2 linked regions of the Caenorhabditis elegans genome follow. The protein of the gene in region 1 interacts with the protein of each later gene in a pairwise test. Each region holds a gene or a part of one and is shown on either strand. Other genes may lie near its edges.

The links.
Region 2: the proteins of gst-42 (region 1) and ZK829.7 interact in a two-hybrid assay, tested with the Caenorhabditis elegans proteins (one large-scale study listed by BioGRID).

The regions. Positions count from the first base shown.
Region 1 is NC_003284.9:11,725,736-11,730,096, reverse strand, and holds gst-42 (putative maleylacetoacetate isomerase), read left to right. Parts: upstream 1-2,160; 5' UTR 2,161-2,300; coding exon 2,301-2,367; intron 2,368-2,417; coding exon 2,418-2,482; intron 2,483-2,526; coding exon 2,527-2,700; intron 2,701-2,791; coding exon 2,792-2,872; intron 2,873-2,921; coding exon 2,922-3,058; intron 3,059-3,482; coding exon 3,483-3,603; 3' UTR 3,604-3,833; downstream 3,834-4,361. Other genes in the region: D1053.3 (Ras family protein), read left to right, coding at 102-234; D1053.2 (Histone-lysine N-methyltransferase, H3 lysine-79 specific), read right to left, coding at 1,354-1,356, 1,431-1,537, 1,592-1,946.
Region 2 is NC_003282.8:11,959,266-11,963,232, forward strand, and holds ZK829.7 (Enoyl reductase (ER) domain-containing protein), read right to left. Parts: upstream 2,271-3,967; 5' UTR 2,268-2,270; coding exon 2,057-2,267; intron 1,991-2,056; coding exon 1,749-1,990; intron 1,695-1,748; coding exon 1,255-1,694; intron 1,205-1,254; coding exon 979-1,204; 3' UTR 640-978; downstream 1-639. Other genes in the region: tgt-1 (Queuine tRNA-ribosyltransferase catalytic subunit), read right to left, coding at 1-80, 376-528.

The sequences.
Region 1 (4,361 bases):
GAACAAACAAGTACTTGAAGATGGTCACGAAAACTTAACAAAAAATATTGTTCACTTCTGCGAACAAGCTGGTAAACACCAAAATTCATTTTTTTTTGCAGCATTCTACGATCGAAATCATCCGACAAATCGGGAGAGAATATGATATTCGAGGCAGTGAATGAGAAAAAGAAAAATGGTAAAAAAGAAAAAGGAGAGAAAGTTGAAGATTCAAAAGTGTGCATCATAATGTAATGTGAGGAAATATGGAATGTCGTTTGATCTCAAATGGGAATAGATAATGCATTGTTTCGTATTATGGAAAAATTACTGAAACACAACTGTACTTAAATTTTAATGTTTCTTTTCTTGGTGAACTTTTCAGTTCTAGTCAGCTCCCCGAACCTCCCGGTAATTTTGAAATGTATGTTTCCAGTGAACTTGTGATATTGATGATAATTGGATTTTATAACAGTAGTTTGTGTATTTGTGTTTTATTAATTTTTGAGATTGGAATAAATAATTTGTAAATAAACATTTTCTCCACTATTACATTTTTGGATGAAATCTTAACTAAAAGAGGGATTCAAAAACAATTTGAAAATAGCATTTCGATGCTTGAAATGTGTAAAATTTTGCGCGGTAGTTCACTGTATTAATATTTTACAAGACTAAAAAAATCCATTAATCACTTTTTGCATATTACTTTACAGTCCAATTAGAAGAAAAGCTCAATACCAACTAATGAATAACCTAATGGAACATACTTTTTTCAAGAGTTTGTTGTATACTGTGAAGTTACAGCGTAGACATTGTTGAAGCAGCCAGACGGATGACATAGGATTGATCACTGAAAAATGACAGATTATCAAAAGACCAGTTTTTAGAACCAGCTTCATCCCAATCCCTAGTCGACTGATCTTTACCTCTCTTGCGTTTCGACTGATTCAGGTCAGAAATAGAAATGTCGTTGATGGGAACTTTTTTGAGAATACTCAATGGACAAATCGATGACGGATTTTAGGATCACAACGACGAGGGATTCAGAGACTTGCGAGGACAGCAGAGAACGGACAGACTAACATGGAAGGACATTTTGAAACGTTTTATAAATAGGACGGTTGATTTAAAAACAACAATTTATTGGACCAACTTGAGTGATAGTACAGATTGCAAGAAGTTGGTTTTTTAAATCATAAACGTGCTACATTGACGCACTGAGAAGAGACTGAGGGGAAAACAAAGGAGATGAAAGATCTATAGGGAGTGAAGGGGAGATCTTAAATAGAAAATACACCGGAAAATCAGAAGTTGACCCGAGCACGAAGACACGTTGATGAGAGAGGAGTTGGGAAGAAGAAAGGGCGTCGACGATCACTGTAAAAAGTTAATTAATATTAGTTCTGATTTTAACCCATAACCGCAAATATTTCTCATATTCACGAACTTACCTTATTGCGGTTGATCTCAGTGAGATAAAACGGAACTTTGTCACCAGTCCAAGACGTATTGTTTTCCACAAGATGAAGAAGACGCTCGTCCGTGATTTTCACAAAATCTGAAAAAGATATAATTAGTATTTTGATGTACCTAACACCTAGTTTCAACTTACCATCGATACGACGAGAAGTCGAGCTTTGAGAACGGGGACGTGGAACAATCGACTCTGATGAAATGATCCGCGTTCCGTCAATGCATTTCGACAAGATCTCTTTCAGCTCCAACTTGAGCTCCGGCGAAAAACGAACGTTGTTCACCACAATCACCGTGGCTTGGGTCTGGATCTCATTAATACGATCCACCAGATATGCTTTTAATGAACGTGTCTCAACGTCGTTTAAATTGAAAAATAGTTCCTGGATGCTCTCAATTTCATTTAAGCACATCAAAGTGCACTGTGTATTTTTATATTGTCTTTGAAAAAATGACTTGGGTACAGCTTGGGCAAGAGTTGGGAGCAGCCTCATAAAAAAAGTCGTGGGCTGCTTGTTCTCTCAAGGCATCGCCCAAGGCTTACCATAGTTTTGTCTACTTCTTCTTATTCCTTCTAATGTTTTTTGAATCTGCATTTCTCTCTTGGTCTACATATGATGTTGGTAATGTATAGTAGAAGACCACGTGTGTCTGCACAATTACACTATCTCTAGTGTTCTGCGTCTGCAATATACAACAACAAAACCATTTCGTCGACATACACCGTCCAATCTTATCAGTTAGTTCGACATCATTCCGTCTTTGACCCTTTTTGTTTATTTTTCAACTAGTCATTATCATCAGTTATTCTTTCTGAGAATTTACAAAATTATTTTCTGCTTGTAGACATGTCCAACCAAAAGCCAGTTCTGTATTCTTATTGGAGATCATCGTGCTCATGGAGAGTTCGCATCGGTTGGTATTTTAATTATATCAATTTTAACTAGCAAAAATGTTATTTTCAGCGCTTGCTTTGAAAAACGTGGACTACGAATACAAAACTGTCGACTTGCTGTCCGAAGAGGCTAAGGTAAGAGAAAATCAAGCGGTTCTTTAAATTATTTTAAAATTTAGAGCAAACTGAAAGAAATCAACCCAGCTGCAAAAGTACCAACATTTGTTGTGGATGGTCAAGTAATTACTGAAAGTCTTGCGATTATTGAGTATTTGGAAGAAACGCATCCAGACGTTCCACTTTTGCCAAAAGATCCAATCAAGAGAGCTCACGCTAGAGCTATTTCTCTTTTGGTAAGTTTTACGTATTTAGTTGGTTTTTTTCTTAACTTTATACTGCTATTGTTTTACAAAAACTGTAACAATTATGTTTTGAGGTTTACAGGTTGCTTCTGGAATTCAACCTCTTCACAATTTGAAGGTTCTTCAACTTTTGAATAAAAAAGAAGCAGGATTCGGAGGACAGGTTTAATTTCAGAATCTTCAATGTATGTTTTCAATTTTTAAAATTTCAGTTTGCCAAACAGTTTGTTGTCGAAGGTCTCACTGCTCTTGAAATTCTTCTAAAGCAACATTCTGGGAAGTATGCTGTCGGAGATGACGTCACGATTGCGGATCTCTCCATCCCGCCACTTATCTACTCAGCTAACCGGTATGATTATAGGGAGGGTCAGGGAATTTTGGACATAGATAACTTTTTGAGAAAATTTATTATGTTTTAGTAATCTATCCAGAATTTCAATGTATTAGTTTGACATTTTGCGTATTCAAAACCTCGAAAATTTGAACACCTTTTGGGTTACCCTCAAACAACACTGACCAATTTTTCATAGACAGTTACTGAATCATCTTAGCAAGTGATTTAAACGAAAACACATTCCTATTGAAAACAACATCCACTTGTGTGGCAACAACCTTTTTATCGGATTCCTGATTCAAACAAAATGTATTAGTCATTCAACAAACATGAATTGGAAGCGATGAGCGTTTAGGATGAGACATGAGAGATTCACAGATAACCATCAGAATAACCTCCCTTCCAAATCGTTCCGATCGCAATCAAACCGTCATTTCAGATTCAACCTCGATTTGTCGCCATACCCAACAGTGAATCGTATCAATGAGACTCTTGCTGATATCCCCGCCTTTATTGCCGCTCATCCTGATAATCAACCAGATACCGGACTCAATGCTTAGATTCTTATGAATGATTGCGTTATTGGATTGGACATACAAGAGTTAACTATTTGAGAATTAAAAAAAAATGTTTCTTTGTCTCTTAAATTAGCACAAAAGTAATAATAAATTTACAACAGAAAATGTCCGCGATATCCTAAAGCAAGTTGCTTTTTTTAACTTTGTAAACTAACTTTTCTCGTTTTCATACTGAGTGTTTTTTTTTCAAATAAATTAATTTCTTAAAAATATTTTGAACTTTATTCAAACGAAATATCCAATGGAAAATTTTTTAGTATGCGAGTTCCACTGATAACTTTTTTGCGTTCAAAAAAAATGTCCTGCTTTGAAGACAGAATTTTTGATGTTTACCTATTTAGAAGTATGTTTCGAAATTCAAGTTAAACAGTTGCAGACCGGAAGCCTCCAAAAGTCATTTTTTTGTCCTCCTCTTCATGACCAAACTCAATCCCTGGGGATTAGCATCTGAAAACCCAATCGGCAATGTTGTGTCATGGAAACTTTTAGAGAACTTTCGGAAGACTTCCGTGCAAAGAGAACGTGTTTTTACGGGCGAGGTTGGCATAGTCATAGTACTAGTTGGTTGCCACCCACAACACAAGCCGGCCTTTCGATTCATCAAAGTATCCGTTTTTTTCACTCTTCTCCTCCCGCATTCTCCCCCTCTTTTCTTTGTCAGTGTGGTCTGCAAAGTTCAATTTCCAACTTTTCTCATTTTCTCTATCTCTGGCTCGCTCTTCGCAGCTCCTTTTCTGCTT
Region 2 (3,967 bases), on another chromosome or scaffold:
CCGGGACGATGTCCAAGATGGTACGTGTTGCAAAGGAGAATTCGACAATCCATCGAGACTAGTTGTTCCGGTACGATTCCCTGTAAGTTTATTATATATGAAACTGCATAAACTCGAGAAAATATTTTTTTAATTTTTTTCAGGGAAAATCGAAAAATGAGAATCTGAAAAAAAATGTTCATAAATTTAACTTGCTGTAAACTTCATAAAATCTCTACTTTTCAAAAATTTGAAAAAATTTTCACTGAAAGTTAAAAAAAAAACTAACAGGTTTTATTTTTTGTATTATACTTTATTATGATCACAAACAAATTTCACATTTTTGAAAAAGTTTTTTTTTCAATTTAGAATTTTTATTCTTAATTTATTCCATACCTTCATAGTTCCCTGTGTTCCAACAGGCATAAAAACAGGCGTTTCGACGATGGAATGTGGCAAATGAAGATTTCCACGACGAGCGAATCCTGCTCTCGCCAGCACGTCGTACCTCATATCTGCCTGGCACGTCGGGAGCGGTTCCGGTGTCATTGGAGACTTCACTTCGTAAGTTTTTTTTTCGTTAAAATAGGAAATAATTATTTTTATTCCAAGTATAATTGGTTATGACCTTTAATGAAGTACTGTAACGGTAATTTGTTTTTTTATAATATTCATTGAATTCGTTTGTTTACATATTTTTTACAAACTAAGATTACCTAACTAAAAATTATTTTCGTTCTCATGTTAAAATTATTTGGAAGGATGCGGATCTAGAGCAAGAAACGGGAGAAAATGTGGATTTTATGTTACAGGGAATTTTTGAAAAGCAGATGGCAACACTATACTCAAAATACCGATGTCTGGGAAGTAATAGAGTAAATGCACAGGATGAAATAAGACTTTCTGACTATATAATTATGAGTGAAGGGAGTCGGGACAATGTATGAAATGGCAAAATGGGAAATACAATTATTACACCTTTGGAGGCTTATTGAGCAATTATTCGGAAGTGGCGGCAGGAATTGGAACACCGCCGCTCTGATCTGCATCTAATGCTGAAGAGGGATCGCAAACTTCGAGAATGGCACGACCTTCAACCTCCGACATCGACAATTGCTTCAACACTGCAGACGCTTGATCGACTGGATAAACTCTGTAGTCTGGAGCATCGATTTGGCCTCCGGCAATCAAATTTACAAGGTTTTTCAGTTGTTCGATACTTCCTCTGGAAATTTTGTAAATGAAATAAAGAAAGAAAAAAACTTCAAATAGTACCTCGTAACTCCCATAATGGCCAGTCTGTTTTTAGCAACGTGCTTGATTGGAAGTTGAACATCAAGACCGGAAAGACCTCCAACAAATAAGACACCACCTTCAGCGAGACACTTCAATGATCGAGTGACAGTTCTTGGAGATGTCACAAAATCGAAAACAACATTGACACCGGTACGAGCCACATCCTTAGTTCTCATAATCAGATATTCTTCAAATTCGGAATCATCCCAGTGTACTACAAAGTCAGCTCCGTTTCTTTCGGCCAGAGACAAACGTTCTTCTTTGGCATCAGCAACCATCAAACGGATCTTTTTATCATTGTTGATCGCTAGGAAATGCTTGGCGAGTTTAAGAAGCCAAAGTCCAAGTCCTCCTGCTCCCACGATAAGAATATTGCAGAATCCCTTTGATTGTGAAAACGCTTCGACTATCGGTCTGGCCTGGAAAAAATTGTTGATTAATACTGAAGAAAAAAACCGTGGAAAATGTCAAACCTGAAGAACAGCAGACAACGCCCAGGTAGCTCCAGCAGGCAAAATAGATGCTACATGCATTGAAAGAGTTTCTGGAATTTTCACAAGAAAATGGAGAGTTGGAACAGCAACATAGTCGGCATAACCATGACTGCACATCTCATCAGTTGGCCATACGATTACTTTATCTCCAATAGTCAGATCATAGTCACCAGGTGTGCATTCAGCGCCGAATGACTCAACAATTCCGGAAACTTCATATCCTGCAATAACGGATTTCGAAAATGTTATTTTCATTAGTTCAAGCCAAATTAATCTAAATTTCAAACCTGGAAACAAGCTGGTATCTTTGATTCCGTTGGTAATTCTTGCTTGCTTCGTGTTGGAAACTTCTCTATCAGTAAGGCAAACTCCTGCATAACAAACTTTAACGCGTGCTCCCTTTGGTGGGACATCTGGGATTGGCTCCTCGTCGAAAAACTTCACTTCCCGAAGATCCTTTGGAGATCCCAAAGAAATTCTTCGGTTTGTTGCTGGCATTTTCTGCAAGGAAAATTAAATTAAATAGGTTGAATAAACACTTCAATATCAATAAATTTGTTAACAAAGAATAAACCATCAAAGTGAGAGCATGGGTCACGTGTGTGTTTTTTGAAGAGACACAACTTTTTAGAGAAAAATCAATAGAATCAACATTGTAAACACTTGGAGAGAAATAAAATATTAGTGTTTTCAGTTTAAATGATAGAAAAATTGGTTCAATCACTTGAGACATTAAACTTTGTTGAGAAACAACGTGCCGAAAACAAAAAATCCGATTGAAAAACGGAAAGTGCGCCTAGTCACGATAACGGGGTCAAGAATGGCTTTGCGCACTTTGCGTGCCTTTTGGCGGAATTTTAAATACTAGTTTTTAATAAAGAAAACTTTTTTGCATTTTTCCGGCAAAATTACAGTTACGATTATTATGAAAGAATCTACTTGACTTACAATTAGAATTAGAGATTCAAATTAACTATTGATGTTTTGAAAGCTCTATCAACTTAGGCTTTTTGAGAATAAGCTTTTTAAGTAACCGGAACAACAACTAACTGACATAAACTTTGTGAAATGGAAAACGAAAATATTGCAGATGAAAAATAACAGTGGGAGAGTAACGAGACGCAGGACCCTACAGATGCCGAAGCATCTATTCGTCCCTCAATACATGTGCTTTTCACGTGCACACAAACGAATTTCATCATGACTTCTAGGGGAGAATGAGAGTAGAAAAAAATCTCGAATATTTTCCAAAAAATTGAAACATTTTTCAAAAAAAAAGTTCAAAAAAAATAATTTGAAATATCTCCAAAAAAATCCAATATTTTGCAAAAAAATAATTTGAAATTTTTCCATAAAAAAGTTCGATAATAAAATAGTTTGAGTACATCGAAAATGAGGAAACATCAATTTGTGGTTCGACGTTGTGAACATTTGAAATCAATAGATCATACACATTTTAAATAACTTCATAAACGTTTTTTTCCAAATCTATAAATGAATTAATCAACGTTTAGATACATTGGTTTTATCTTTTTGGAATCCCAATATCTTCAATGCAGAATTTCTGTGATCTGATAATGAACAAGTGATAACAACTGGATCAATTGCAGGATAAACGCTTAGTATAGGCACAATATATGTTGACAGTATTATGAAAGTATTTAAAAATTTCAAGAACTTATGAATCTATAACCTACACTCCATAATTATCACCGGCAAGTGGGAGGAACCATACAACAAATAAAGGGATGATTGTACTTATTAATGGAATTATAGTTTGCGCAATTAAAGATTTGAGAAGACTTGAATGTAATCTTTTCGTAGTACATGATAATGTGCATGCTTTCAGTGACAAGTGAATTTTTCGTGCAAAGAAAACATAGATGATCATAATAGAATTGGTGATAACTGCGGCTACAAGCATTCCCAGAATTCCACTTTTTGACCAGTCATTCACGGGGTACTGTAATTGTTTTTGAAGGGAACACTCATATGATATGATGAGCAAATATCATAGTACAGTCAGTCAACATTTTGAAGTTTTTTTTTAACTTTCCGTCATAAAGTGGTAATTACTCAGTTTTCACTTATTATGATTTAAAAAATTGATCAAGATACATTTTGCGTTGTATGACTTATTATTTGAAATTATTAATATATTCAAACATTATGCGAGGGCCAGCTTGCAACAATGTCTG